6 linked regions of the Coturnix japonica genome follow. The protein of the gene in region 5 purifies or fractionates together with the protein of the main gene of each other region. This does not show direct contact. Links are inferred from orthologs where the notes say so. Each region holds a gene or a part of one and is shown on either strand. Other genes may lie near its edges. The genes, in order: BTBD2, CUL5, CUL4B, COPS7A, COPS3 and CUL4A.

Region 1 (5,275 bases), on a different chromosome or scaffold from region 5:
TGTCCATACGATCCCTTCTCTCCTGGGCTTCCTTCCATCGACCTGCCTTGTAACCATCAGGCCACAAAATGACTCATTTTCATTTGTTTCATTGCACGCAGGGCTCTAATTAGCTGCCTGCACAGTGACCAAAGGCTGCTTGCTCCATGCAGTGTCCATACAGGGCCAAGCAGCAGCCTGCAGCTCCCTCTGATGTTTGCAGCTAAACACAAGGAGGACAGAGCGAAAAAACACAGCTTTGAGTGAAAAAACCAACGCTGAAATGCATGGAAAGCAGCTCCGCCAGCAAAAGGGGTGTAAGGCTGCGACGTGATGCAAGGAGAAGGTGTTTGTGTGTCCATGTTCAGTGCTCGGTTATCAGTCATAGCAGGAAGATTTCAGAGGTAAAGCAGCTTCCCTCTCGAGGCTGCCGTGCATTCCTGCATGCAGAAGGGTCAGTTAATGGCCGGCTCTGGGCACTAGCATAGCTGTGGGTAATGGGAGTTCCCCCCAATTAGGATAATGCAGCAGAAACCTGCCGGGTGTGCACTGCAGCAAAGCCGTCCATCCACACCGGTGTGTTGCAGCCACAGAGATCGATCCCATGAGGTCCCTCAGCTGTGCAGGGTTTCAAAGCTCCGACCCTATACCAGGTACAGCTCCGTGTGGCAGCAGAGGGGCAGGCAGTGCACTGCTGCAGTGGAGGGATGCACCAGCACTGTGTGTTTGCTTCCCACCCCTCCCCTATCTCCCCCTGTGCCCTCAAATCTGCCCCTTTCCCCTCACATCTGCCCCTCAGACCCCTCAGATCTGCCCCAGACCCCAGAACTGCCCCTCAGAGCCACTTATCTCCCTCACAACCTCCCATTCTCCCTTCACAACTGCCCACCCCTCCCCTATCTACCCCTTTCCCCTCACATCTACCCCTTTTATTCAAATCTGCCCCTTTTACCTCAATTCTGCCCCTCACACCCCTCACAACTGCCCACCCCCCCCTATCTGCCCCTATGCCCTCAAATCTGCCCCTTTTACCTCAAATCTACCCCTTTTACCTCAAATCTACCCCTCACACCCCTCACAACTGCCCACCCCTCCCCTATCTGCCCCTTTCCCCTCAAATCTACCCCTTTTACCTCAAATCTACCCTTTTCCCCTCAAATCTGCCCCTTTTACCTCAAATCTACCTCTTTTACCTCAAATCTGCCCCTCACACCCCTCACAACTGCCCACCCCTCCCCTATCTGCCCCTTTCCCCTCAAATCTACCCCTTTTACCTCAAATCTACCCCTTTTACCTCAAATCTACCCCTTTTACCTCAAATCTACCTCTTTTACCTCAAATCTGCCCCTCATACCCCTCACAACTGCCCACCCCTCCCCTATCTGCCCCTGTGCCCTCAAATCTACCCATTTTACCTCAAATCTACCCCTTTCACCTCAAATCTGCCCCTTTTACCTCAAATCTACCTCTTTTACCTCAAATCTACCCCTTTCCCCTCACATCTACCCCTTTTACCTCAAATCTGCCCCTTTTACCTCAAATCTACACCTATGCCCTCAAATCTACCTCTTTTACCTCAAATCTGCCCCTTTTACCTCACATCTGCCCCTTTCCCCCTCACATCTGCCCCCCCCTCCCCTCAGAACCGCCCCCTCCCCTCACTCCCCCGCCTTCGCCCCGCCCCTCCCCTCACCCCTTTCCCCCTCCTCCCTTCCCCTCCATGCCGCGGTGCTGCCCCGCTCTGTTCCTCTCCCCCCGTCCCACCGCCGCCCCCATCCCCTCCATCCCTTCCTCTATCTCCTTCTCCCCGTTCCATCCCGCCGCCGTGTCCCGCCCGCCTCTTGTGGTGCTGCTGCTCCTGCAGCGCCGCCCCGCGCCGAGCCGCGCTCCGCACAAGATGGCGGCCGGCGGGAGCGGCCCCGGGGGTCTGTCCTCATCCTGCCCTCAACCCCCACCGCCTCCCCCGGGGAACGGAGCGGCCTGTGCCGCCTCAGCCGCTTCCGAAGGAACCCCAGCATCTCCAACGGGACTCACCTATAACCAGTGCGGAGCCAACAACCCTACGGCGACGGCTGGAGGAGGAGGAGGAGGAGGCCTGGGAGTGGGGGCGGCCCCTCCGGGCGGAGGGCTGCAAAGAGAACCGGTGTATAATTGGCAGGCGACTAAACCGACGGTGCAGGAACGATTCGCTTTTCTCTTCAATAACGAGGTGCTGAGCGACGTGCATTTCCTGGTGGGGAAAGGCCGAGGGACGCAGCGCATCCCGGCACACAGGTGGGGAGAGCAGGCCTGAGGGGGGGGAGAGCCGTGGGGAGGCCTTAAAGGGGATGTATATCGGGGATATAGGGGGGTGGAGGCCTTAAAGGGGATTATAGGGATATACGGGGGTGAGCCCTTAAAGGGATGTATAGGGGATATAGGGGGTGGGAGGCCTTAAAGGGATGTATAGGGGATATAGGGGGGATATGGGGGGGTGGGAGGCCTTAAAGGGGATGTATAGGGGATATAGGGGGGTGGGAGGCCTTAAAGGGGATGTATAGGGGATAATAGGGGGGCATATGGCGGGGGCTGTGGAAGGCCCTTAAACCGGGGAATTGCTAATAAGGGGATAATAGGGGGTGGGAGGCCTTAAAGGGGATGTATAGGGGATATAAGGGGGTGGGAGGCCTTAAAGGGGATGTATAGGGGATATAGGGGGATATGGGGGGCTGTGTTTGGGTTGTGGAGGTGAGAGCCGAGTGTAGGCCCTGGGGGGTGCATAGAGGGAGTGGGGTGTGGAGAGAGCCGGGTTTAGGGTGTGTAGGTATAGGGAGAGCCGTGGGTAGGCCCTAAGGGGGATGTAGGGAGATGGGGAGGGCAATGGGATGGGTTTAGGTTGTGGAGGTGTAGGTGAGGTGGGGAGGGCCACATTTAGGGTCTGAAGGTGAGGGAAGAGCCATGTGTAGGGTATGATGGTGAGGGCAGGACTGTGGGTAGGTTATGGGATGATGAGGAGGGCCCTAAGGGGAGAGCTGTGTTTAGGGGCTGAAGGTAAAGGGAAGGACGTGGATTGCTGGGGGTGGAGAGGGGAGAGCCTGGTTTAGGTTGTGAAGGTGAGGGCCATGTGTAAGCCCTTGGGTTGGGGGCATAGAGGGGATGGGGAGGGCTGTGGGTGTGGGGAGTGGGATGTGGGGATATCCATGTTTGGGGTCTGGAGGTGAGGGGAGAGCCTTGAATAGGCCCTAGAGGAGGTATGGGGGGAACGGAGGGGAGAAATGGGGAAAGTCATGGTTAGAGTGTGAAGGTGAGGGGAGAGCTGTATGTAGGGCCCAGAATGGGGTGGGGGAGCGGGATGGGTTGGGATGTGGGAAGAGCCATGTATGGGGGCACTCAGCCCATAGATGAGAACAGCCCCAAAGTGAAACACTCCTTAATTGCTCTGTGATCCCTGGGCGGTGAAGGTAGAACAGAGCGTGCCATGCCATGACATCCCACACAGGGACTGCATAGAGCTTAATGACACACGTGTCGCTCTGTTCCTGTGTCAGGATGGGTATTTTGGGGTTTCCAGGATGGGTATTTTGGGGTTTCTCTGCAGCTGTGGGGTGGTTGTGGCTCTGCAGTGTTCTGTTGTTGGTGTTACCGTGGTGCTGTGGGCACAGAGCTGAGCTGGGTGCTCCTTAGCAAGGGGAAGGAGATGCCACATAGAGAGGGGTTTTCTTACCTCGTGTCCCTCTCGTGCTGTAAGGAAACTGAAAAATCTCTGATCTTGCAGAGTTTGGAGCACTGTTGTGTCTTTCCCATTTGGGTTCAGCAATGTGAAACAAACCGGACCGGCCTTTCCATGAGTGGAATGGGAGTAGAGATTGGAGAGCTTCTTTCATGCAAACACCCCTTTCAGATCACTCTGCTCTGTGTTGCCTATGAGAATGGCAAACTTAGAGTGCAATTAGTTGATGTTAATTGTTAGTAGGAAGTAGAGCCTGCAACTGTCTCACCATCGTCGCAGAATGTGCCTCTTGTGCTTTCCTTCCTGCCGTGCTTTGTCCCCAGCTCTCCTTCCCAACACAAGCAATGCTGCCTGGCACAGCACTGCACCCGTGGGAGCCTTGTGCATGGGGGACAGAGCAGCAAGGGACCAAGCAAGAAACTGGATGGAAACCGAGGAGGAATAAAAAAGCTGCTGTGTCACTTCCTACCGCAGTAAACTCCAACCAGAGCTCCCTGGTGGCAATGGACTTCCTGGGAGCCCGAGAGCCGGAGCGTTGTGCCTCGTGCCTTCCGTCACGTACCGCCTTCTACCTCTCTCCATCGAAGCGTGCACCCAGCTCTGCTGCACTGGGAGCTGCCGTGCTTCCCAGCTTCTTCCTTTCCATAATGGGTCAGGGAATTAGTTGGAGTCTTTGCTTCCCCACTGCTGGTGGCTGCTCAGTGCCTTGGCTTCAGGGAACAGCTGAGCACATCCACCAGGACCCAAGTGCTTCCCTGGGGAAGCCCAGCTCTGCCTTCCCAGCAGTTCTCAGAGGTGCTTGGCAGTGGTTTCAATAACAGCAGCCCAGCTCTGTGCCTGCCCCTGGAGCAGGAGCTGGTGGTTGTTGGTGAGGGATGGCACCGTGTTCACACCGGGTTCTTTTCAGCCTCAAACCTGGTTTGTGGGAATCCTTGCTTCCTACATTCAGAGCAGCTGCATGCGTTCTGCTCCACCATGCACAAAACCTTGTGAACCACTGGGATGCTGTCTGCAGGGCTCAGGTTGTTTGCAACACTGGTGTTTTCTCATTAAATGAAAGAAAACAGTGACGTTCCCTTCTCTTGCAAAACATGCTGTCAGCAGCTCCCCTCCCTTGGGGAGCCCCTGGGGACCAGCAGCCAGTTGGGATTTCTGTGTGTATGAGCCTGGTTTAACATCAGCTTTTTGGGCTTTGTTTTGTGGTTTTAGGTTTGTGCTGGCTGTGGGCAGCGCCGTCTTCGATGCCATGTTCAATGGTGGGATGGCCACAACTTCCACAGAGATCGAGCTGCCCGACGTGGAGCCCGCTGCCTTCCTGGCTCTGCTGAAGTAAGCTGCTAATGCACGTCACACCGGGATGGCTGGATTGATTGTAGAGAGGAGTGCTTCCAATGAAAGCACTGAACCATTCTGTGAGCTGGAGGTCGTATGTTTCTAAATAAACCTCTCTGCCAATCCGTCTGAGGGCTTTAAACGCTGCTGCTAAATCCCTCTTTTCTGGGTAACATCTGGTCCAGCTGATGCCCAGAAATATCTGCCTGGCTTCATCTTGAGGTGTAGCAGGCATTAAACAAACACACCTTCCCA
Region 2 (5,165 bases), on a different chromosome or scaffold from region 5:
CATTACAGAATAAATCACTTTATAACTTAGTGCTATGGAACAGCCCAAATTCATTCAGTTCAAACAGTGTCTAAGCAAAATCTGCAGTTATGAAATTCTAATGACTTGCATTGTGGTTTTGTACTCTAAGCTCTGCACCAAAGAGAACCAGGAGGAAGTTCTCCATGGAGCACTATTTCTGGCACATTTCTGTTTGGTTGGTTGGTTTTTTTTCTGGGTAAATGATGTCTAATTTCTTCCACACAAAAAGAAAGTTGAAAAACATCACCAAATAGTGGCATTATAACCAAGCATGTTCTTAAAAATTAAGAGAGGTGATAGAAACAGAAAGGAAAACCGAATCTCAAATAATTGCAAATAGTCTCATTTCAAAAGAGCTTGAGGAAAAGAGGATGGACCAGGTCATGGGGCAGTGGCCAGAGATGTCTACATCCACACCACAGCCTATAGAATACCTGCCTGTATCTCAGCTTCTCTGGTTCACAGACAAAGGTACCTGTAATGCAGTACTCACACTGTGCTTAATGCACACATACACAATGCACACATTCTACTGACCTTGCCAGAGACCTCATAATATCAGCACTGCTGTGGAATATGTACACAATGGACAGTATGTGATACACTTCCATCTGTATTATCTAGTTATATACAATACATACCATTGTATAGTTGCATGCTTTATGTATACAATGAATATTGCATATATACTTAAATGAAAGTTATATTTATTCCATATAACAGACTTATTGAAGTATTCTGAGACTGGAAACTTTGTCAAATAAGAAACTTTCCAGTACCTCTGTGTTACTTCTCAGTTAGGAGAAGGCCTTGATTAGGCTATTTATTAATATAATAAGGCTGCAGGCCTTAGTTAGTCAACACTACTTAAATTTTCAGAGAGCAGAGATTTGTTGAATGTTGAATGTAGCTTTTCTATGTAGCTAACACCTTAGGGGCTCTATGCCTTACAGTGTGCGGGGTGACCTCATTGCAGCCTTTCAGTACCTGAAGGGACACTTCCCAGGAGGGAGTAAACTCTTCGAAAGGGCTGACAATAGCAGGACACGGAAAATGGATCCAAGTTAAGAGGGAAGATTTAGGTTGGATGTTAGGGGAGGTTCTTTACTAGAGAGATGTGGTTAGGCCCTGGAACAGGCTGCCCAGGGAGTTGTGGATGCCCCGTCCTTGTGGGTGTTTACAGACACAGGTTGGACGGGCCCTGGGCAACCTGATCTAGTTAAAGGTTATGTTTGGTGGCCCTGCCAGGCAGGGGGGTTGGAACTACATGATCCTTGAGGTCCCTTCAACCCGGGTCATTCTGTGATTCTGTGTAAGCAGAGGGAGGTGTAGGGCTCTGTCCTGAGAGGTCAGAGGAAAGTTGAATTGTTTTCTTTAAGATACGTTTTGGATGAAGGATGCCTTTTTAAACAGGAAAGTAAAATTATGGCTCCTATGGCCACACGCTGAAGAATCACCGAACAGAAAAGCTGGGAAGCCTGAAGGGTCCATGAGGAAAAGCGCCCACCCCCCCGGGCGCCCTCAGCTGGGGGAGCGCTCTCGGGGGTCGGCGGCGGCCAGGGGTCGCTGCAGGCGGAGCTCCCGCCCGGGCCTCCCTCCGCGCTTGGCGGCGGGGCCGGCTCGGCGGCGCCGCATCATGTGGGCCGGCCCCTTCCATGGAGCCGGGGCTGCTGCCGAGCGCCTCCTGGGCGGACGCCGCCATGAGGCTCTGAGGGGCGGCTGCGTGCGGAGGAGCCACCCGGTAGAGCTGCGGAGCGCCCCGAGCACGGTGCCGGCCTCGCCCCCGGGCAGGGGAACCCGGAGCTGCGGCCGCTGCTCCTGCTGCCGCCGCCGCGGGTCGGGCCGGGCGGGCGGGCGGCCCGCGGCCATGTAAAGCGGCGGCGGCCGGGGCAGAGCCGAGCACGGGGAGAGGAGCCGCCGTCGGCGGGGGGGAGATCATGGCGACGTCTAATCTCTTAAAGGTGAGAGCGGGGCCCGGCCCGGCCCTGCGCGCGGGGAGAGGCGGCCGGGGCCGGGCTCTGGGGCTGCCCCGCACCGGCTGGGCCTGCGGGCGGCGGCACGGGCAGGCCGCGGCGCTGCGCCCCGGGCGGAGGGGGCGGCCCGGGCCCGGCCTCGGCTGTGCGGCTCGGGGCTCGGCTCGGGGCTCGGCTCGGGGCCCGGCCGGGCCGTGGCCTCCCGCTCCCGGCTCTGTCCGCCCGGGCTGCAGGACGGGGTCGGCCCTTTGTTTATTGCGGGGAACCCCGCGGTGCAGAAAAGGAGTTTAGAGTTGAACAAAGAGTTGGGCAATGCCTTCGCCGCGAGCAGGTGTCGCCGGTCGGGTTGCCGGCGCGTTCTGGCCTTTTCCTTTCTGCTAACTGCGCTTTGCTGCGAAGGAAAAACTCCTCGAGGCCTTTAATCGGCTCCGCTTTGGGGGTCAGATGTTCTCAGGCCCGTTCCCGGTGTTTGGTGGCAGATGTCACTCACCCCAAACCGAGCCAAGTTCGCACACAAGTTTTGGCTGTCACAGGCCGTGCCCGGCCCGGGGCTGCCCGGCCTGAGCTGGGCGGCGTGTGCGGGGACCGGGCCTTCTGTGGCCTCCAGGGCTGTGCCAACGTGCCCGGGGCCGGCCTGCCCCACACAGCTGCTCCTGGGGCGTCAGCCTGATTGAGGTGCGAGGCCTTCACAAGGCACCAGGTTTACTTACTTGCAGCAGTTAGCACTATAAAATGGCTGTATATTTAGAAGTGTATGTGTGGCCGGTTCTATGTATTATACTTAAGTAGAGTTCTGAGGAGGTGCTGCTTGCATTTCGCCAACCTGACCTGTGCTGGGTTTGTGGGTTTGCCCTGAAGCTGTTCTGAGACACTCAGTGAGAAGGAAAGAGGAATAATCAATAGCCTCATGTCTTCCTCACGCACATATACACACGCTCATATATATATAAATTTATTGAAATTGACATGCAATGAAAATGAGTTTTCATTCAATTTTCCTCCCTGTTGTCTAGATATTAAAGCAGATAAGACCAAACCGACTGAATTCAGGACTGCAGGAGAAAAGCTCCACGTCCCGCTCAGAGCTATAGGGGCAAAAAGGGGGTTTCTTTAGGAGAGCGTGGCTTTAAAGCTTGGACAAGCTCAGACAATGTGTCTGCTTGTTATTGCTTTAGTCCACTGCTGAGGGGCTCTGGAAAGGCCTATGTGTGCTGTGACAAGACGTGGCTGTATAGCTTGTAATAGCTGGAAACAGGCCTGTGAGATCTGTCAGCATTCCTCTTCAGCTCATAGGAAAGAATAAGTGAATGCTAAGTGCAAATAGAGTCAAAGGCCTTGCTGTTGTGAGATGGCTCTCACTGATCTGAAGCTGTTTTGTTGCTGTAGTGGCATCCCTGCAGTTGGCCTTTAAATCATTAGCATTTTAAATGGACAGAAAGATACACGTGCACAGTGTGTTTCCGGAACAATGCTACCAGGGGGTTTAGAGCACCTGGGAGTATTTTCTAAGCCGTATGTCTTATTAATTAGGGAGTTTTCTAAAGACAATGAACTACGACTGTTGCCTCGTGAAAGAGAAGGTCATACAGTGATTTGGCTTTGTTTGTAATGACACACTAAACCAATAAGATAATTGTGACTGGATAAGGGCTTTTGTTCCCCAGCTGTGATGCTCAGTGTGCTCCCATTGCTGTTGATTGCAGGTTGTTGCCCATTGGCAGTGCCTTATGCTGACTGAGATTTGTGAAATGCAATTCTGCTTTCATGTTTAGGGCAAAGAAAGAATAAAAAAAGAAAGAAAAAGCAAACAGTGTCCTCTGCATAGTGAAAACGTATCAGGTTTTTTGGTATTAAAAACAAAACCCCAACACACGATCAAACCCACGTCAGGTTTAGGCGGGTCTCAGTTTTGTTGGGATAAACAGGAACTGAGAGTTTGCTGCTTTTCCCCGTCTTCCCTCAACCTTCTGCACAGCCGAGAAAATGAAGTGAAATGCTCCTTTCTTACTCTTGTAGTGAATCCTGGCTGAGCCGATCCCTGACAGCCTCTCATCCCTTCACAGGGCGTCGCTTCATCTTTGCTAGTGCAGTTTTTAATTGTGAAAGGTGAATTAATTTGTAGGGCAGGTGTTGGAGCGTCAGCTGTTGGCTTTGAGGTGACGATTGGTGATGTGAAGGCACACGGGTTTCTCTGCAGCTCCTGGGACAGAAAGCGGCTCAGCTTATCACAGCGCCAAGGAAACCTGTAGCTGTACCCACGTGAGCTGGTCTTGATGCTTCTGTAGGGCTTGTTGGAGCTGCTGGAGGTGGCAGCAAATGCAAGAGTTGGTGAGAGCAAGTTGAATTGCAGTCTGAGCCTGGTGTTAGGGGGGAGGCAGCAAAACAAGTAGGTTTGCAGTAGGCTTAAATGAGAACCATGATCTACCTTTCATTTGTTTCAGCTGTGTTTTGTGGGTCGTAGTGCTCTGTCACTTAAAACTGGAAACATTTCTGCATTTTTCTAGTTCTTCAACCTAAAATATTTCCAGATACGTTAAGTTTCTCCTGCCTATTTCCAATTAGAGCAGCTTGTGGTGAATGCTGCGTTCCACGTAGTTGCACAGCGGAGCTTTCCCCATGGCTGTCTTTCTGCTTTGTGTAATGGCTTTGCTATGATCATCTCACTGATATTTAGAGCTGCTGGGAGCAGAGAGGAATCAGAATGGGAATTCTGCTTACTGTAGGCTGGGACCTCATCTGTCCTACCTCATTCCTTCTGAATTAGCCTTAATATACAATGACTGTAAACAGCTCAGTAGTAAAAGCACAGACATATGGAAATGTACTCAGTGATGGAGGATGCTGCATTTTCACAGTACTGCGCGGTGCATCTGATGGAGATCAATACTCTATGTGGCCTATAGTATTGAGTGTACACAGTAAAAAGCATTGGGTGGCTGAGTGAATGTTTCAAGTACAGAGGAACAGCAGCACGGAGACCGCTGGGGCCTGCCTGGCCTGGCAGCCTCGCTCTCCTCATCCCTAGGCTGGCTCCTGGTGTGTTCTGCATTTATTTAGGACCTCACTCCACACTCTGTGCCTGTTCCTGCTCTGCTTCTCTTCACCTTTATTTTTACAGAGTGGAGATTGGTGTTATGCAGTAGGACCCACGTCAGGAGAGCTGTTGGTCTT
Region 3 (5,193 bases), on a different chromosome or scaffold from region 5:
GAGGTTAAACAAAAAGAAACTCACCATCTTACTATTTTGACGGGGTCTTTCTTTGGCATGATTTGGTTTAGCCATGGTTCGATAACAGGAAATTGGTCTATCAGCTGGTTCTTAATACCTTTAATAACTGAAGTCTTCAGCTGGATACAGTTCGATACGTTCTCCTTTTCATCAAATCTGCCGAGCAAAAACATTTCAGAAACACTGAATTAGCTGCCCAAACGACGTAACGTTTACAGATATTAACAACATAATGTGCCCAACTTTGAGATACAAGCTTACAAGAGCCGTGACGCCGGCCCCGGCCCTATTGCTGAGGCGGACGGAGCGCCGGGCCCGGCCGAGCGCACTCACAGGGCCCATAGCGGCCTCCTACAATCAGCCCAACCAACCCCACTCACTTTTTGAACATCCTGGGACGGTGGGAGCCGGGACAGCGAGATCCTGTGCCGGGCGTGGACCGGCGGGCGCGGGGCGGGCTGCCGGGACTCCGCGCTCCCTCACACGAGGTCCCGGCCCTCCCCCTCCAGCGCCAGCCGGAAACGCCGCGCGCTTTACGGCATGTCGCGCCGCTGTATGACAACGGAACTGCTGAGGCTGGGAGGAGTGGTCATTGAGAGCAGATCGGCTGAGAACGACCTGGGGGTCCTGATAGATGAGAAACTTAACGTGAGCCAGCAGTGCGCACTGGCAGCACGGAAAGCAAATGGGATCCTGGGCTCCATCAGGAGAGGGGTGGTCAGCAGGGATAGGGAGGTGATCGTCGCTCTCTACTCGGCTCTTGTGAGGCCCCATCTGGAGTACTGTGTCCAGGTGTGTAGCCCTCAGTACAAGAAATACATGGAGATTTTGGAAAGGGTCCAGAGGAGGGCCACGAAGATGATCAGGGGGCTGGAGCACCTCCCCTATGAGGACAGGCTGAGGGAGTTGGGTTTGTTCAGCCTGGAGAAGAGAAGGTTGCGAGGTGACCTCATTGCAGCCTTTCAGTACCTGAAGGGAACTTACTCCCAGGAGGGGAGTAAACTCTTCGAAAGGGCTGATAATAGCAGGACTAGGGGAAATGGTTTTAAGTTAAAAGAGGGAAGATTTAGGTTGGATGTTAGGGGGAAATTCTTCACTAGGAGAGTGGTTCGGCCCTGGAACAGGCTGCCCAGGGAGGTTGTGGATGCCCCGTCCTTGGAGGTGTTCAAGACCAGGTTGGACGGGGCCCTGGGCAACCTGATCTAGTAAAGGTGTATGTTTGGTGGCCCTGCCAGGCAGGGGGGTTGGAACTACATGATCCTTGAGGTCCCTTCCAACCCGGGACATTCTGTGATTCTGTGAATGGAACGCGCTGTGTCTCTGTGCATGTGCATGGATGGCAAAGCAGGATGCGGCTGTCTCGCAGTACAGCCGAGGAAGGGCCGTGCTCATCCATAGGGCGGTGTGATGCTGTGATGGAACGTGCTGACACCGCGCTCTGCTCCCAAAGGCTTCAGAGTCACCGGCATGAAAGATCAGGCCACCATCCGAGCACCTTTTCTATATCAAATCAACCGCGATACATAGCATCCACACAACGTTCAGCCAAGCTTCCACGCGTGGCACAGTCTATTTAAGCGCTGTGATACAGCCGGTTCAGGACTCAAACACCGAACAAACCCCTCACGAACCACGCACGGCACTGCGCCCGCACCGCGCATGCGCACAACGCCGGCCTCAGCCACAACGGCGCCGCCATAGGCCACGCCCCCTATAGGCCACGCCCCTCATAGGCCCCGCCCTGCGCCGGCGCGCGAGGGTTCCGGCGGGCGGCCGTTATAGCGGCCGGCAACCATGATCACTTCCGGTAGGTCAGAGGGCAGGCAGCCGGCGGCCGTGTTGAGGCGTTGGCTGCGGGGCAGCGCGAGGGAGCGGCGGGACGAGCGGGCGGGAGGGAGGAAGGGCGGAACCCGGCGGGCAGGGCCGCGCCGCTGGGACCGCGGGGCCGAAGCGGGGCCCGTCGGGCGGCCGCGCCCCGGCATGCACAGCGAGCGGATGCGCCGCCATCTTTAGGCTCCCTTCCCCGCCTGGAGTGACAATAACAAGCACCGGGCCCGGCCGCCCCGGCAGCGCCCCGGCAGCGGAGAGGGGCGGGCGGGAGCCCTGCGGAGGAGCGGGCGGCGGGGGCCGCGCTGAGGGCGCTGAGGCCGGGGCGCTGTTGGCCCCGCTCGGCCGAGCAGAGGTGGCGGGGCGGCGGGGAACCGCTGGGGCCGGAGAACGGCGCTGAGAAGAGCCCGAGGGTGGACGGAGGTGGGGGAGGAAGCGCTGCTTTGAGGGCGGGAGACGGAGGAGAGCCGCGAAGAGAAACGGAGTCACAAAGAGAAGGAGATCCGGTGTTTCCTCCGAGGGATAAGAAGGAGAAGGAGGGGGAATACCGAGGGACTGTGTCGATAAGGAGAGAGGAGTTAAAAGACTCCGCTGAGAGACGCCACCGGAGGCTGACGGAAGAGCTCTGTCCTCTTTGTCGCGCTGCCAGGATTTGATGCCCGTCAGCCTGCTCATTTCTGTGTGTTCATGTTTCCCACAGGTTTCTCTTCCCCCAACCCCTCCACTGCAGCTCAGGAGGTCAGGCCCGCCACTGATGGTAGTAGCGGCAGCAGCTCCTCCTGCAAGAAGAGAAAGTTAAATAATAGCAACTCTGAAAGAGAGGAATTCGATTCCATTTCCTCCTGCTCGTCATCTCCTTCCAAAAACAACTCCTCCTCGTCTTCTTTAGTCATCACCGCCTCTTCGTGCTCCTCCTCGGGGGTCGCCTCCTCCAACCATCACCTCCAGAAGAAGCTGCGCTTTGAGGACTCCTTGGATTTTATCGGACTCGATGTGAAGATGGCTGAAGAGTCTTCTTCCTCCTCCTCTCCCGCTGCCTCTTCTCAACAGCAGCACCAACAGCAGCTCAAAAATAAAAGCCTTTTAATTTCTTCAGTGGCCGTAGGGCACCATGCCAACGGCCTGACCAAAGCTGCCTCCTCTACTGTGTCCAGTTTCGCCAACAGTAAACCTGGCTCCGCTAAGAAATTAGTGATCAAGAACTTTAAAGGTAACAGACCATAATTCCTCACAATCTCTGCGGAGCTGCCGCTCAACTCTGTGTTTTGTTTTCAACATGAAAACCTGGTTGGCTTTCAAATAGCTCCAGGTTTTACAGGAAATGCTTTTTTGTGGTAAACATTCTTAGACTTATGTAAAGGGGGGTTATGTTGATGATGCGTCCTTGCCCGATCACGTGCACATCTGAGCCAGACTTCCCTGCTTGGGCTTATTGTTCTGACTGCATTCACTCTGTTGAGGAGAAGGCCCTTTCTAGTATCTTGAAGGAAACATTTTACTGCCTAAGTGTGTAAATCACCTTTGATCAAACTTCTGAGGTTTGAAAGCACTTTTCCAGTAACCCAGACTCAGGGTATACAGTATATTTTAGCCTTGTTTATGGTAAGTCTTTGCAAAGTATCCTTAAAAAAAAAAAAGACTTGAATCTCCATGTCTTGCCCACGTGTATTTTGTCTGTTTGTAGGTTAATCCGCTTGTGCTTAGTTTTAAATGTTGAAACTAAGGTGATTATCCAGCTCTTAAGGCGGATTTCCTTTCTGCTTCTCCTACTTGACTTCAGAGTAGGTAGTTCAGACTTTTGCAGGTTATTTTTCTTGCAGTATCATCACTGCTGTGCTTATTGCTTAATTTTTTAGCATCTTTTCTACTTTAATATGCTCTTCCTTTTTTTTTTTTCTTTTCAAATTTACATTGTTTTGTAGTTTCTCAACCAACATGGTGGAGCTTTTCCAATGTTGTTACTTGAGATCAACTGAAGCAGGGAAATGAAGCTTTCTGATGTGAATTCAGCATGATATTCTAATGAACAAAATTGAACTAGGTGAAGGCAGCGATCCTAGCTAAAATTCTGTAGTTTTTATCCTAAAAAACGTCTGAGAATTGTGAGATTTTCTTGTTAGTCCATTCTTCCCTTTCAAAGTAATTCAAGAACTTACTTTCCTGAGTGGTTTTGTTTTTCTTCTTATGTTTGGGTGGGAGAAGAGAGGGCTTAAAGGTCTGACAGAGATTAAAACGTATTTCTAAAGAGGCGGTTGATACAAATGTGCTGTAGAGATAGCACAGAAGGTGAGGATTAAGGATTACCTGAGCCACTGTAATGTTCCAGTGTGACTTTTTGCTTTAAGGACTACTTAATTCTCAAGAATGTTCCCAGTCTGTTTCCCGTGCTGCCATGTCACCATCTGTTAATTTGGTTGCCTTAAAACCTTGTACTTAGGGTGCATGATGGCAAGAAATAAATGCTGCCACTGCATGTACTTTGTTATTTTTAAGAGAAGGCAACTTTTCACATTGAAAATATTAACTACATGCCAGGGATGACATGGAGCTGCAATCATCATTGCTTATAAATTGCTCTTGGAATCACTTCCTTAAAAAGAATGTCTTGAGAATCTGCATCTCTGGTTTTTATTTATGCTCATATGCCAAGATGACTAATAATCGTAGTGTGCTTTTGTCTGCGATAGCAATACACGTCCTTTACATCTTCCTAAGATTCAGTATGTTGCTATTTACTCCTGTATGTCGTATTCATTGCAGGCTAGTGGAAATGAGCAAGTCCCAGTTGTAGCGAGTTGTCTCTGTACGGTACAGTCAGTGTTGGGATATTGCCATTACTGTAGGGAAATGTTTGGGAGGGGGAAGTAAACAGAAGAAGGATTATTTTTTTTTATCCCCAAGAGAAATGATAAAGCTTTGAGGTGTTTGGTGGGGTTTGTTGTTGTTGCTGTTGGTTTTTACCTTTAAGTTTGCAAAGTCCATTAGAGTGCAGTCAACTTCACTTGTTGGTGACAAGGATATGCATCTGACTTCCCGATTTTTCTCCTTTTCCCATCTCCATTTGGGAAATTCTATGACCCAGCAGAAGGGGTCATTTGAGTGAGCTTGAGAACACATCATTTTAAAGCAGTCTTGGTTTTCTGAGGATGTGACATGGGTGATCTTTTTCATGCTGTGGTAATTGCTTTGGTCTTGTTGTGGGCACTGCGTAGCAGAGCCTCTGGAAAATCTGCAAACACTTGAGCTATACGAGCATTAGAAGAGGCCTTAACTCTACAAATATCCTCTGGCCAAACCCAAGAGAAACATAAATAGATTAGTTAGAAATCCAGAGATTTTTCCTCG
Region 4 (5,410 bases), on a different chromosome or scaffold from region 5:
AGGAAAAGATGGCCATGAAATAGATAAGACCACGTCTACAGTGAACAACTTTCAGTGCTGAAAATAAAAAGGTGATCTTCAAAGGAATCAGACAGAAAACAAACAAACAAACAGCACAATCCCTGTGGACAATGCTGTAGAAGTGCCTGGCCGTGCAAAGACAAGACTTAGGAGAAGAAGGGAGATGATCAGGCCACTCTGTGACCTGGGCAATGCTGAAATTCATGCTTTAAAAATAACTTTGAATCAAAGATGACCTGAAGGCCGCAGATCTCAGTGATTTAAGGAGGTCAACCTGTTTAACTTATCAAAAAGCAGAAAGAGACACGACCTGACTACAGCACGACTTCCTTCCTGGAGAAAAGCATAGCAGGTATTCTGGCAGAGAATAAACAAGAGCCGGTCGCTGGAGAATGCCTTATTGCAGACACGAGCCACCATGTGATGTGAAAGGTCCTTTCTCTGCTGGAGAATCATGACTGGAGGCTGTCTGTCCTGATCTGCAAATTCCCGAGGGCTGTGAGAGTACATGGGAATAAGAGTTACTGCGCAGGCACCGTCCTCTTAAACTCCTTTGTGAGCAATAGGTGTGAGGCTGCCCTAGATGTAACTAGGCACAGGTCTTACCACCCTGTGTGTTAACCTAGTACAAGTTACGTGGTTAAAAACTTTCCCCATCACGTTGTCTGGCAAAGAGATTTGCCCCATCCTCCCTCGTCCTTACAAGCTTTTTGCCCAGGACTCTGTGGCATAGAGTTGTGAAAAATCATCACAGATCTGGACTATGTTTGGGGAAGGGCTAGAGATCAAAATATTGGCAGCGTTTTGACAAGCCAGTTTGATTTTGCATCTAAGGATGAACAAAGACTTTGCTAAGTTATGGGCAAGACACCGTGCGCTCACACGAGTGGTTGCATATTCAGAGATGATGATGGCCTTCTCATTAAGGGAGCTCGGGTAGTGATTCATTCCTTGCCCTTATTTTAGCTCCGTGCAGGACAAAAGAGAAGAAACACTGTGGTGACCCAGCAAAGAGCACACAAGACCCGGGGTCGGTGCAGAGGGAGGCTGCTGCAGCTGGGATGCTCGGGCTGCTTCGCTTTATCGAACTAATAATGAAAGGCAGCAAGCGTGTCAGAGAGTGTGAGAGAAACAGATCGATAGGGAGATAAAACTGAGATGGAAGGAGCTGGTGAGGGGGTGGGGGAGAGAGCAAGACATGCTACAGAGCAGCAGGGCTACACTTAGACCTGGTCAGAACACAACCTGCCCCGCTGTAGGTGGGTGCGTCAGGTGTCAGGGCGTGGTGAAGCACACGGACAGGGAGGTGAAGGCAGGAAGGTGGTGGTTGTACCTTGCACTGATGCTGCCCTGCTTCACCTTGTCAGCCCTTCTCCTCCTTCATTCCGCCGTAAGGAGCACCGCAGGCCTCGCTATCTATCACAGCCCTTCCCCACAGCCCCAGCCACAGCGATACTGTGAGCGGCGAGTGACCTCCAGCCGAGCGGCGGGGCCGCCACCATTATAACTCAGCCTTCCACCTCGGCCCTCCCAGCGCCGCTCCCCTCACGCCGGCAGCCTCAGCGTACAGACCGAGCTCCAGCCCGGCCCCGAGCTCCGAGGAGCCCAGCGGGGCCGGGACGGGACGGCAACCCCGGGCCAGGACCGTGAGCTGCCCGCTGCACCGCGCAGTCCTCCTCCGACAGGGGGCGCCCCAAACTCTGCCCGCCCGGCGTCACACCCGGAAGCGGGCGGGCTGCGACGGCGCCGCCATAGAGGAGAGGGCTCGGGGCGGGCTGGAGGTGGCGCCCGGTGGCGGGGCCGGGGCCTGCGGGACGCCAGCGCGGCGGGGCCGAGTGCCCGGCAGCGGGATGGCGGCCGAGGGGAAGGTGACGGGGCAGAGCCAGGAGCAGTTCCTGCTGCTGGCCAAGGCCGCCCGCGGCGCCGCGCTCGCCAGCCTCATCCATCAGGTGCTGGAGGCCCCGGGTATCTACGTCTTCGGGGAGCTGCTGGATATGCCGGCCGTACGCGAGGTGAGCCCTGCCCTGTGCCCTGCCCTGTGCCGTGTGCCCTGCCCTGCCCTGCCCGCGGCTGGGCCTGGGCCGCGGTGTGGCCTGACTCGCCTTCTGTCCCGCAGCTGGCCGACTCCGAGTTCTCTCCTGTCTTCCACCTGCTCACCATCTTCGCCTACGGCACCTACGCCGACTACCTGGGTGAGGTCGGGCTTGGGGAATCGTGCCCTAAGCCGCAGAGCTGGGAGCGAGGTTGGGTTTGGGCGTGAGGCCGAGGAGGCCATGGAGGGGTCCAAAAACATCTGGGCAATGGTGTTTGCGAGGGGTGGGGGGAGGACTGGGGGATTCATTGGGATGTAGAGGTCTCCATAAATAAGGTGTGGGACAGCTTGGGGAGGTGGCTTCAAACGGAGGAGAGGCTGCTCAGTGAAGGTCCTTTGAGCTGTGGATTAATGGTGACGGCCTGCTAAGACAAAGCATCACTTTGGGAGCCGTTGTGATGCAGTTCTGAGAAATGGGACTGGGGCAAATGCTTCCGTTGCGGGACTGGGAAATAGAACATGAGGTATAAATTCTAATGCCCCGTCCTTCCCTTTGGCAACAGCTGAAGCAGCAAACCTCCCTCCCCTGACAGAGGCTCAGAAGAACAAACTGAGGCACCTGTCGGTCGTCACTCTGGCTGCAAAGATCAAGGTAATGCCCCTATTTTACCTCTAGTTTTCCTTCTTCTGAGTTTACCTTGTGTTAGTTACCATCATGTCTCTGCAGTGCATCCCCTATTCGGTGCTGCTGGAGCAGTTACAGCTGAAGAACGTCCGGCAGCTAGAGGACCTCGTGATCGAGGCGGTGTATGCAGATGTGCTGCGAGGGAGCTTGGATCAGCGGAACCAACGCCTGGAGGTGGATTACAGCATTGGGAGGGACATCCGGAGGGAGGAGCTAAGCACCATCACCCGCACATTGCAGGAGTGGTGAGGAGGAAGCCGCCCATACTAACACCTTCAAAGGTTGCAGGAGTGGTCAGGGGCTTCACCAGATCATCCTTTGTGTGTTGCTGGGGGGCAGCGTAGCAAAGTGACCTCTGTCTCCTTTCCCAAATGGCAGTGGAAAATAGTTTCCACTATCCAACGTTCTTCCACATTGGAGGGGTGAGGAAAGGAGCAGCAGTTTTTGCATCCAGCTCCAGCTGCTGGCAAGAGTCTTTCTGAGTATACATCTGTAGCTCTTAACCTAGTGCCGCTTTGTTATGTGTCTCCCTCCTAGGTAATAATGTCACTACATTATTGCTTTGGACTGCCACCCCTGTGCCTACCCTGCCTAGAGTAGCTGTTACCTTCCAGGTTTTATTGGTCTTTACAGTTCAACCAGTCATCTTCATGTTTCTTTCCCTGCAGTACCAATTACCTGTCCTGTTCAGCTTAACATTTTCTCTACAGGTGCCAGGGCTGCGAGGTTGTCTTGTCTGGCATTGAAGAACAGGTTAGCCGAGCCAACCAACACAAAGAACAACAGCTGGCACTTAAGCAGCAGATAGAGAGTGAGGTGAGTGGGCTGAAGAGGGAGAGGAGGAGGCATTACCCCTTGCTTAAAGAAAGAGTGGAACCAATACCCTGTTGTTACTATAGCCCTTGTTCGAGGGCTATAGTATAGTATATATACTATATAGGGCTAAGGCATTACCCTAGGCTGAAACCCTCCGGGGTAGTTATGCTTGAGGAAGAATTGGGAGTCACTTAAGCACTTCTCAGCAGTGCAAAGCTCTGGACAAAATAAAAGGGAGGAGGAAAAAAAGATAATAACTTGAGAAATTCCTTGGTTCTTGTTTTACTGCTGTTGCAGGTGGCGAATCTGAAGAAGACAATTAAAGTGACAACAGCAGCTGCTGCAGCAGCCACCTCTCAAGACCCAGAACAGCACCTCACAGAGCTCAGGGAACCTGCCCCTGGCACCAACCAGCGCCAGACCAGCAAGAAGACTTCCAAAGCCAAAGGGTGAGGAATGGTGGCAAACAAACGTAGCCACTGCCTAATGTGTGTTGAGGGGAGTTCTGTTTTGTAGCACTGAGGTCACTGCAGGGGTCTACACCCCAGGCCTGGAATGGTCCAAGCTGACCTCCACCTCTGGCTAATTCAGGGGGTGCAGCTCTTGATCTGAAGCACAGTTCATAAGCCTTCCCTGAATGCCAGCTGTTCTCTGTGTACGCTTAGAAAAGGAAGTCAGAGATGAAGTTTAGTGTCCAGTCTAAAACTTCTTCCTCTCTCCGCAGGCTCCGGGGCAGTGCGAAGATTTGGTCTAAATCAAACTAGTTGGATCTCCCTTCACAGGTGGGAGGGTGAGAGGAAGAGACTTGGGACTCTTGCTACCCCTCCATCTACTAAGTGTGATGCTTCTGAGCTCATCTCTGAGATCTGTCTTGCCAACTAATTCTCCTGCATGTACTCTTTTCTGTCTTCTTCACTTCCTTTCTGGGCAGTGCTTCCCACCTTTTAATCATGACATTTCACACTCTAAGCTTCCAGTTGAATGCATTGCTGTTTTCCCCTACCCCTCAAGGTTCCATCACCACAATCCCATTTCTTTCTCTCTCCCCGCCTTTTGACAGGTCAATTTATAGAGTCATAACAGTCCGTCTGTCACCTTTGCATCTGTAGGGCATCACAGAAGCTTGGGAAGAGTGCACTGGTGCTCAGCAATCATTTTGGCTCTCTGAGACCCCTGGGACACCTCGTTCCAGGATGCAGCTGCCATCTTGGATTGTTTAATCTTTGTTTTGCTAGGTGGGAGGGTAGTTTTTTGAAGGGATTCTTTTAAAAGAATATAAATATATTATAAATAAATATATAAACAATAAAAATATAGATCTATGGACATATCTATACAAACTCGTGCTCCTTTGTTGCTGTCTCTTTACCTCATATACTGATTCTTAGACATCTTAAAATAAGCCACGATAATGAGAGCCCTTTGGCATTGCTCAACCTGTTCTTCGATGGCACCAAGAGTCTGGCTGATTAAATATATATCCAGCAAACTTGTCTGCTGTGAGGTACCCGGAATAAAGCCATCACGTTCATCAGAGGATGCATCTGTGAGACTGGCTTGGAGCAGAGGCAGCCAGCTGTGCGTGTCACACTGCATGACGGCTCTGTGGCTGGGTAAGCTGATCTAAACTGACACTGTGACTCCTACACCCACTCAGCTCTGCCTGTGCTGAGGTTTGAATTCCCTGAACCTGGGTTTTTGTGCCTGAGTAAACCACCCAAAAATTAGTGTAACAACAGAATAACACTGAACTTTGTCTGCATAGGTGGGACTTCCCCAGTTCATTGGCTTGGATGAATGATTGTCTGGGTCGTTTCCCTGTGCAAATCTAGGAGAGCTGGAGCTAGGGCAGTAGA
Region 5 (4,670 bases):
TATGATTCCAACATAATATGACTAACTGCCATGGCTGGAGTAGTTATTGCCTAAGCAAGAGAGAAAGAAATGAAACAAGTTTAATATTCTCATTGGTAAAATGCAGTAGCTGCATTAACAACATCTCAGTTTAAACCTGCATGCACAAAGGATGCGCTGACACATTAGATTCACTCCTGAGTGTTACAGCTTAACTTGTGTCAAAAGTAACTATCTAAAACATACTAAAAAAACAAACAACTAAAGTTCTATATGAAGTACTCAAAACGTCATATATTACAGTAATGCCTAACTTAAAAAGCCCTGTTAAGATCAAAGCAAAATTTCTTTGTTTTATATGTATCTAACATTGGACTGTAAATCACCAGTGGCTACTAGTAACAAGGAATGATCCCATGAAAGCTGAATTTGCACACATCCTTACAAGGATTTCATAAGAGATATCATGCAACCTCTTATTTAACCATGATGGAAGAGGCTTGCAGAACAGTAAGCAGCAATTTTAGTTCACCCCAATATTGCTACTCAACAGCCTACCTGGCCTTATAAACAAATGCTGCACTAGTTTATTTTGCACATTTGACAAAGTTTTTCCTCACTGAGTTCCTTGAATTTTGCCATTCTCTCTTCTTTCAAAGAAGAAATAAAACAATCCTTATTATAACAGGCACGAACTGTAACTTCCATCAAAAAATTAGAAAAGCTGAGAAGCAAAGCCATCGTGCTCTTTGAAAAGACACAGTTCTGAGTACCAGCCTGTTTCTAGGCGAGCAGTAATAAGCGGGCACTTGAAAATATTTATAGTGAGATAAATTTAACATCAACCTTTGAGTTGCATAGCTTTATGGTGCATTAGTTGCTTGGCTGTGACTTTCTAAGAAGATAACACTTCTAAATTCAGTTTGTTACTTCACTCTGTACACCAAGAGCACCATTTAGTCTATACTCCTTATGAAACAGCTGATAAATAAAAATGAACCCCAATCGGTTTTATACACAGTTACAATGCACACAGATAGAAAAGCAAATCCAACGTGAATGATGGACAGAAGTACAGGTCTATTAATAGAACTGCATCCTAAAGGTTAAGAACAAAAATAATCAGACTGTTTGTATTTTATACAAGGTACACAGCTTTCTATTCTGTCCTTCGTGGCAATTCAGAGATGACTCATTATCCCAGTGGCATTATATGTGCCATTTTTGCTTTTCAATGCACCACAATTGAGGCTGATCAGTTTTAAAGTTACCTGTTCGTAGAAGTAGAGTGCTCTTTCAAAGTTCTTTAGCCCAGTGTATATCATCCCACCATAGTAGTAATAACATAAAAAGTGCTTTGCATCGTATGCCCCATTTTCTTTACAAATATCCATCATGTCCACATCTAGATATGGGAGGGCAGGTTTAAAGCATTTTGCTAACAAACAGAGCTACAAGAAAACAAATCAAGTTTCTTAAATTAGCTATTTCAAATACCCACAAAGATGACATTGAAATTCAATTCATGTAGTAGTATTTAGTATGCCTCACTCCTCTGAGAGTTAAAGAAACAGTATGTATGTCACAGTAGAGGCATAACATGGATTATACATCGTATTGTGGTATTTGGAAAAAAAACAGATTGTAAACTTCTGGAAATTATGTGAATCCTAAAGAAATCAGACTAAGCGACAAAGCAGCCTGAAACTCCAGGCCTTCCAAACTACCGTGCTGGCAGCACAAAATATTGCACTCAACATTCTCATCCAATTCTAAGTCCCAGGAGCCAAGAATGAGACAGGAGTGCAAATCCAGGCCAAAGACACAGAGACAAACATGCCTTTTGTCAGACTCGAGCAAACAGTATTTGGCCAGTACACTTACACTGTCTAAGAGAAGCTGTGCACAACTTCCAGCCCATAGAGAAGGACTTTCAGAAGTCATGAACAAAACTAAAATCTAGAGACAAGTGCTGAACATTTAATAGGAAGAGAAGGGAGTTTTATTTCAGTATACCACATAACAGACTACTGGAAAAGAATTAAAAAAACCAACATCACAAAACCTAAAGCTTTCTTTACACTGCAATACATGAACATGCATTTATCAAACAGCTACAGGTACTCTACAAGCTTTCACCCTCAGAAAAAAGCCCCGTGTTCCTCTTACCTGGCAGAGATCTGCATGTATTGAGGTCAGCTGGTTTGTGTTCATCTGCATCTTGTCTATGGCTTGTCTGAGAATGCTAATTCCTCGAAGGGGCTGTCAGAAATTACATCTCTTTCAGATAATTTCTCATAGATGGCAGCACATTGGATCTTATGTTGACACTTACAAATGAAAAATAACACTAATTGACAGGTTCCGTTAAGTAATGATTAACTTGTGGTTCCCTTTTTGTAGGACATTGCAGTCACTCAGAAAACACAATAAGCCCATGGTATGTAACTTCTCCTGATCAACTAAACAAGGTCACCAATTCTGCTCCACAAAGACAAGTTCACCAGGAAAACAGTAAACTGTTCTGAGTAAACCTTTTATTGACTCCATGAGTCCATCTAAATTCCTAGCAAATAAAGGCAAATCTCCCACTTCACTTAGTCCAGATTTGATCTCTTCATTCAAGCCAGATTTAACTTACTTTTCCAAGACATTTTCAACACCTAACCCCTAAAAAGAAATGTCCCCTACACTTTAAGGCATTTCATTAAGAACATTGTGTAAGATTGGTGAGAAGAACGCTGAAACATCTCTCTGACTCATTGGCTCTATTAGTTTTTGCAGCTCCCCTCTACTCATGCACACACACCATCTGAATAACAACCCTGGTACACCTGATTTCATGGTGTGAGAGCATGTTTTTAGCTAACTTCCCCCCACATTTTAACTTATATTTTCTTTAAAGAGGTTTTAAAATCGTCTTTTAAGTTCATTACTGCTCAGTAGACTTAACTTACATAAGGAGTCACACAAAAATAGTTTACATGAAGTTAGCAGTAAACCTTTATGAAGCAAGTAATGTCCTTTTTAAGAACATAGCTTTGTAGGCTCCGTATTTGTATTAGATGATATTTGCTCACCTGTTTTCTCTCCACAAGAGCATTTGTTAACTGGTGGCACAGGCCAGCAACTAAACAGAGAAAACAAAAGAATTCAGTAAAACAAGACTACCAATAATACCAACCTATTATCAATATATAAAAAGATTTTTCTATAACAAGCTGAATTAACTTACAAGTGTCTGTTGCATATCTAATGTGTTCCCCATTACAAGTACTGATGAAGAGCTGCACTTGTGAGAATAATGTTTCGAAATCGGGGATGCTGGGCATAGAAAACTTCACAAACCTAAAACAAGACCAAAAAAAGTTTAACACATAACATTCAGAGATTAATTAAAGAAAACCAAAATGTTTTATCTTCAGTCTCTGCAGATACAGGTAACTGCTTGCAAGAAGCGCCAAAGTGGTCACGACAGATGGCATATGATTTCCCCAAGAGCTGCACAGCACTTGGAAGTACACTCTCAATGCATAGTTCTACTATGAATCTAATTAAAAACTAGGTAGGAACTAGCTATGAACAAAGACCTCTTTACCTGCTACAATTATAATCACAATAAATATCTAACAGTGAAGTTTTTAAACTAAACCACATAACTTCTCCAGACACCCACTTGAATGTACCACAGATTTATCAACTATTACTTGATTAGACTTCTATGTCTTGCTAAGAGCTCTTTCTCTTCACTTTCACTTTCTCTCCATCCCTGCTGGTTCCTCAGCACCCTACAAGCTGTAGAGTTCCACGGTGCTTCTCCCATGAGTTGTGATTACACTACCTGTGTGCAATGAGAACTCTGCACGTGGCTTCATGCTTACAGTTTGGCTCACTCATGTCCTGCCAATTAGAAGTCCTGTACTTTTTTGCTGAAGGTAAAAACACTCATACAGGCATAAACGAGAAACAGATACAGCCTTAAGGAAAAAAATCACCATTTGGAAGTGATGATATTTTACAGGCTCCACATTTTTTTTCTGTTGAAAGCACAAATTTGCTTAAACATTTCTTCTAATAAAAGATATATGACTAAAGGAAACTAAGCACTATTCTGCAAGAGACTGAAGAGGCTTGGTTGGCAATTCAGCATGTAGCTTGAAGTTTTGATGCTGTAATGGTTAATTAACAGAAAGCCATGCTTACAAGACAGCAAGAACTCCTAATGAGTGTTCCTGCACATCCAGGGCTCCAAGCACTGTATCCAGATGGGAGAGGTTTTTTGCTAGCAGTTCTCCGCTCTTATTGATCAGCTCACAAAGCTGGGTCATTTGCCCTGAAATAAAAAGCATCCTTGTCAGAGTCCAGTTAAAAAACACACATGCATTCCCATGCTTCATTACACCGAATCCCAATAAAATAAAACAAATGAGGATAACATAGAATCACCCACACAACTGATTGCTCTGCAGTATGTTAGGCACCAGTTCTCAAAAAATAAGGTGGCAGAGAAGCTTCTGACAGCAAAGGAAACCCGCAGAACATGAGCAGCAGCATCAATCTGCCTCATTATAGAGGACTTCAGGATCTCATAGCGACACTAAGCTCAGTTGAGCCAAGTCTCCAAGACTCTGACAAGTTTACTGCGATGCCAAACTCTCTCCAATATGAATAGAAATTACCTACGCTTGCTC
Region 6 (4,670 bases), on a different chromosome or scaffold from region 5:
TACACGTCAACCTGAAATCTGCTAAAAATAAAGTCCTGAACAGCATAAGTATTTGTTGTCCTGAAGATATATTTGGATGATGTTTTTTTCTTTTTGTGGTTGTTTGGTTTTTTTTTTGGATATGTATTTCCTCTTCGTTATGCAACGTAGTGGTACTGATTGGGGTTGTCTTTGTCTCTCTCCATATAGTCTCTGTCAATGAGAGATTCGATCCTCTTTTTCAAGTCTCCAGGCTTCAAGAAAAGATGAGATCAGTAGAACAGTTAATCATACGAATTCCAATCTATTTTATTTAAAAAGCCTCCACCAAAACAAACAAAAACCTCACAGATGAAAACAAAACAACAACAAAAAACAGGACAGCTAAAAACTACATTAAGAAAATGAGCCACACTAAATGGGTAAACTGTTTTCTTCTGTGTTGGGGTACTAGGTTGTCTTTGCAAGGATTTATGAGTGCATACAGTAGTTCTGAGTAGATGGAGTGTTCTAGAATAGCTGAGTTAGGCCTGTGGGTTAAGAGTTAGTGGGTGGGGGGTTTAGGTAGGTGTGTGTACAGGTTCTCTCGTGTGCATTGGGTTTTGTGTAGCAGGTGTACGCATCTGCGCGGGATTTAGGATCGTATATAAGGAGTGTGATGCAGCAATAAATTGAGAGAAGACATCATGGCATCCATGTTCGTGTCTCTCCCCTGGACAGTCGAGGGATAAGTCAGGTTAATTGGCCGATACGTCACTTCTGATACCTTGGCTCATTCTAATACTTAATCCTAGGATGGTCTGAAAAACAAAATCCATTACCTTTACTGGGAATTTCAGTTGGTTGTACAATTCAGAAACAAGGAGATTGTGACCGAGAGTCTTTCTCATCTTCATTATTCGTACAATGGCAGCATCAATCTGATATTGTCTGTCTTGAAATACTCTTTCAGTTGTGCTAACCTGTTCCTCGACCTAAAGAACAATATGAAACCACAAGTATCACCTTTTATTGCTATCATTTTATCCACGATATTTCTGTAGTTTTATTGCCTACGGGACAGTTACATACATTACTGCTTGCTAAGAACTAAGTGATTCTGAAGTGTGCTGCTGAAGCAAGTCAAATATAAAATTAAAGATCTAAATAAAGATCACGTCATATTTTAAATCTGATAAACCAACTTATAAGAACTCCCTTCATATTTTCAGAAGAACACACAAGAATTTGACAGTCTAAACACTGTCTTCTGCACAAAACTGCTCAACTCGAACCTACTTTTTAATTTTCACAGACAAAGGCCAAAAGGGAACAACTCAATACTAATTAAAACGTATCATCTTGCATCCAGAACTGGGAATTGAGTAAAACAAGGACATCCACTACAAACGAGGGGACAACCCTGACCTTTTAATAGCCTTCTTGCCCTCGTAATAAAGAAAAGTGACACAGTGACAGTTGAGTCATGAGTTCAATGTAGTAACAGCTCTTCAGCTGTACCATGAAAACTTGTAAGACACAAAACATCTGCAAGACCACACCATCAGTTCAATATAATAGCATTTGATTTTGTAGGCAAAGGAAGGAATCTGAATTGTTTTGATTTCAGTGGGATTTACAATCAGTGAGTCATCCTCCCTACCAAAAAATTAAAGTACATTTCCCTTCTAATAATACAAAAGCTATGAGAGGAAATGCAGAGATTCTGTCTCTCCACGTGGGACATGGATAAACAGTTAACCAGAATGAATGCAAAAATAAATACATACTGTTTCTTTCATCTGGATTTGATTGATCTTTATTCTAAACAATTTATGCTTGAAATCACCATTAAAGATGAATTTGTCTCCATCTTCTACATCCTTGCCCTTTGGATTTTTAATCAGTACTCGTGCTTTCCCACAAGCTAGAGACTGCAAGGTTCTTCTTAATTCACTGTCCTCTGTGAACAAATTCAAAGTATAGGAGAAAAGAGAGCAAAACATTAGTATGAAAAGTTTAATGCAATTAAATTAGGCATAGAATGAAAAAAAATTACTGGTTTTTATATTAATGTGTTCTTCCAAGCTAAGTTCTGATTACACAACAGCATACAGCCTTCAAGCTTGGCCTCACGCATCTCATAGGTAAGTGCTGAGTGTGTGCACTGCAAGTGTGCACAGAGCTGCACAAGTTAAGAATACAGACCTGACAGGAACATAGGGATCACCTCAACAAAGCTTCTATCTAGCAGCAGTGTCAGAAAAACAATATCTCGGCAACACAAGCCTGGTGTTATCGCTGCAGATTTGTTTGGCAGTAACAGGACATCGATAGAAAAATCAGCTGATCACAACAAGAAAATTAAACCACTCATTTTAGGTGATTTCATTGCTTTTTTTATACATCAGATGCAAATATAAACACAAATGAAAAACAAAGAAGAAAATAGGAGAGAAGTCTTACCAAACATCTTTCTATCAGCTCAGAAGGTGCCGCTGACAGCTATTATATCCATTAAACTTCTCCACAATAGGAAAGGAGTGGAAACAAGCGGGCAAAGGAAATTTTATCTATTAAGATTTAAAGCTAAAAGCACTTGGACGAGTAGATAAATGAAGCCTAAAACATTCTAGTAATTATCTTGCAAAGACGTCTCAGGATTTGGCATTAAAACAGTCTCTGCGGTCTCTGGAATACTTTTACTCATAACACAAAATTAGCACCAAATGTTTCAGATCCAAAAAGTCTACAAGTTAAAACAAACGTTTTGCAATGCAGTGCTGAACTGCACGGAATGGATGAGCTAAAGTGGAATGCTTGTTATTTCTAAAATACTTTAGCTTACATGTTCACACAGAATGATGTTCAACAACTCAACAGAACATCTTCCATATATTCTTTCATTATTAAAAAACCCTGTTTCACACTTTTTAGGCTTTTCACTTTCAGTAAATGCAGACTGCTGATGTGTTTTTGCCCAAATAGAACCCATGCCACTGTGCAAGGCTGCCATTACAAACCCCAGTACCCTCCAGAGCTTTGCTTCTGCTGTGCGTGTGAAACTGCAGGTCACAGAGTGCCAAAGGGCAAGGAACTCAAAATTGCCTTTCAATCATGCAAGGAAAAGCAGGAAACGCATTTATTTCAGAGAGGCTTTCTCAATAATGAGAAAGGCAGGAAAAACTGGAATATATTTGGACAGTATGTCTCAAAGAAGCACAGCAACCAAAGAGCAGGTAACCACTCTTTCTCTGGGTGTCAGTTGATATATTTTCTAACTATATCAGTCTATCAGCAGCAATCTCGTATCTTCTAAAGAGACCGGGTATAATTTATCCTAACTGTGAGTGCAAAACAAAAGTCCCAGCTTTACCTAATTAATTCTTCATAGGTAGCATACTGTTGAGGTTCCTAATCTTTTATTTTTATATTACTTTTATGTGGCACATTTTAATCATTTATATTTTCTGTATGGTGCCGTATGCTGTTGTTATTCCCTTGATCTTAATGTATGGATGGGTTGAGGGACTAGGAAGCAGCCCCATACAAAAGGATCTTGGGGGCTGTGGCTAGTAGGACGTTGAATGTGAGCCAGCAGTGAGCCCTGCCAGCCCAAAGGGCCAACCGTGCCCTGAGGTGCACCAGGCCCAGCACTGCTGCCAGGTGAGGAGGGCTGTCCTACTCTGCACTGTATGTGGGTTCCAAAATGTAAGGATATAACATTGTTAGAGTGTCCAAAGGATGGCTGTGAAAGTGGGGAGAGGTCTGTAGGGTGTGTGAGGAGAGGCTGAAGTCTTTTGGTGCGCAGGCACAGCACCATGCTGTCAGCATTCAAGGAAACACCCACAGACACAGGGTTTGTTTTTTTGAGTGCTCCTGTGTGGGAAAGGAACTGAATCCTTGTGGGTCCCTTGCAACTTGGGCTGTTCTATGATTCTATGTTCTATATGGATAAAGACAAAGGGATGTGAAGACAAATGGGATATCTTTGGGGTGGGTGGGGTTGTGTGTAAATGTGGCGACAGTCCATGTTTTGTCCCAGAACAGTGTAGACATTTGGTGTTAAATGGGACTTAAAGACGCAATAGACAAAGTCTATAACACAGATAGTGACCAGTCTTCTGGTTATTTCAATGCCCAGGAGTTTAGAAACCCAGACACTCACCTACTTTAAGTACAGGCCGTTTAGAAAACAAACCTGTAAATCCAGCAATGTAGCTAATACAGAAACTGCATAAATGACTAAGAGTCTGAATAGCAGAATCACAGAAGATACCATTTTCACCTCTGTATAGCACACATAGTAGGATCACAACTGACTGATATGAATTAACTGATGCTCTGTCCTGTGGCTGTGCTCTCCTACCAAGTGCAGAGAGGAATGCAGATTGCTCAGCTTTACTGTGTGAAGTGCTTTCCTCAAACAATTGAAAGCTATGAGTCATACCATCTCACTGGCTTCTGCCACACAAACTGATAGTCTCTTCATATTAGCTTCAGTATGACTCTCAGGTAGACCACAAAAATACTGATCTGGTTGGCTCCATCTCCTGCTGCAGTCAGCAAAGGAGCTGGGGATACACTGACTGAGAAGCCTGAGGAACCGCTGTGAAAGTTCCAATAGGAGAAGGGAGATTACCAGAGTTACCCAACAGATTTTTCTAACATTGGAAAATCCCAAATGCTTTACATCTCACTCCTGCACATTA

The links.
Region 1: the proteins of COPS3 (region 5) and BTBD2 purify together in Homo sapiens (affinity purification with mass spectrometry; 3 studies listed by BioGRID and IntAct, counting the BioPlex papers as one, with this or other methods). This does not show direct contact. The link is inferred for Coturnix japonica from reciprocal best matches to the Homo sapiens genes COPS3 and BTBD2.
Region 2: the proteins of COPS3 (region 5) and CUL5 purify together in Homo sapiens (affinity purification with mass spectrometry; 3 studies listed by BioGRID and IntAct, with this or other methods). This does not show direct contact. The link is inferred for Coturnix japonica from reciprocal best matches to the Homo sapiens genes COPS3 and CUL5.
Region 3: the proteins of COPS3 (region 5) and CUL4B purify together in Homo sapiens (affinity purification with mass spectrometry; 11 studies listed by BioGRID and IntAct, counting the BioPlex papers as one, with this or other methods). This does not show direct contact. The link is inferred for Coturnix japonica from reciprocal best matches to the Homo sapiens genes COPS3 and CUL4B.
Region 4: the proteins of COPS3 (region 5) and COPS7A purify together in Homo sapiens (affinity purification with mass spectrometry; 14 studies listed by BioGRID and IntAct, counting the BioPlex papers as one, with this or other methods). This does not show direct contact. The link is inferred for Coturnix japonica from reciprocal best matches to the Homo sapiens genes COPS3 and COPS7A.
Region 6: the proteins of COPS3 (region 5) and CUL4A purify together in Homo sapiens (affinity purification with mass spectrometry; 10 studies listed by BioGRID and IntAct, counting the BioPlex papers as one, with this or other methods). This does not show direct contact. The link is inferred for Coturnix japonica from reciprocal best matches to the Homo sapiens genes COPS3 and CUL4A.

The regions. Positions count from the first base shown.
Region 1 is NC_029543.1:1,316,867-1,322,141, forward strand, and holds the start of BTBD2 (BTB/POZ domain-containing protein 2), read left to right. Parts: upstream 1-1,688; 5' UTR 1,689-1,699; coding exon 1,700-2,253; intron 2,254-4,897; coding exon 4,898-5,017; intron 5,018-5,275.
Region 2 is NC_029516.1:161,331,862-161,337,026, reverse strand, and holds the start of CUL5 (cullin-5), read left to right. Parts: upstream 1-1,676; 5' UTR 1,677-1,958; coding exon 1,959-1,982; intron 1,983-5,165. UniProt on the Homo sapiens protein: Core component of multiple cullin-5-RING E3 ubiquitin-protein ligase complexes (ECS complexes, also named CRL5 complexes), which mediate the ubiquitination and subsequent proteasomal degradation of target proteins.
Region 3 is NC_029519.1:15,291,572-15,296,764, forward strand, and holds the start of CUL4B (cullin-4B), read left to right. Parts: upstream 1-1,749; 5' UTR 1,750-1,815; coding exon 1,816-1,828; intron 1,829-2,548; coding exon 2,549-3,058; intron 3,059-5,193. Other genes in the region: MCTS1 (malignant T-cell-amplified sequence 1), read right to left, coding at 25-177, 402-412.
Region 4 is NC_029516.1:69,466,404-69,471,813, forward strand, and holds COPS7A (COP9 signalosome complex subunit 7a), read left to right. Parts: upstream 1-1,774; 5' UTR 1,775-1,871; coding exon 1,872-2,033; intron 2,034-2,137; coding exon 2,138-2,213; intron 2,214-2,616; coding exon 2,617-2,705; intron 2,706-2,780; coding exon 2,781-2,983; intron 2,984-3,448; coding exon 3,449-3,554; intron 3,555-3,851; coding exon 3,852-4,003; intron 4,004-4,278; coding exon 4,279-4,318; 3' UTR 4,319-4,336; exon of another isoform or gene 4,337-4,663; 3' UTR 4,664-4,894; downstream 4,895-5,410.
Region 5 is NC_029529.1:4,775,134-4,779,803, forward strand, and holds part of COPS3 (COP9 signalosome complex subunit 3), read right to left. Parts: intron 4,313-4,670; coding exon 4,183-4,312; intron 3,328-4,182; coding exon 3,215-3,327; intron 3,110-3,214; coding exon 3,060-3,109; intron 2,310-3,059; exon of another isoform or gene 2,242-2,309; coding exon 2,149-2,241; intron 1,431-2,148; coding exon 1,251-1,430; intron 51-1,250; coding exon 1-50. UniProt on the Homo sapiens protein: Component of the COP9 signalosome complex (CSN), a complex involved in various cellular and developmental processes.
Region 6 is NC_029516.1:123,871,133-123,875,802, forward strand, and holds part of CUL4A (cullin-4A), read right to left. Parts: intron 1,922-4,670; coding exon 1,749-1,921; intron 954-1,748; coding exon 801-953; intron 234-800; coding exon 138-233; 3' UTR 1-137. UniProt on the Homo sapiens protein: Core component of multiple cullin-RING-based E3 ubiquitin-protein ligase complexes which mediate the ubiquitination of target proteins. As a scaffold protein may contribute to catalysis through positioning of the substrate and the ubiquitin-conjugating enzyme.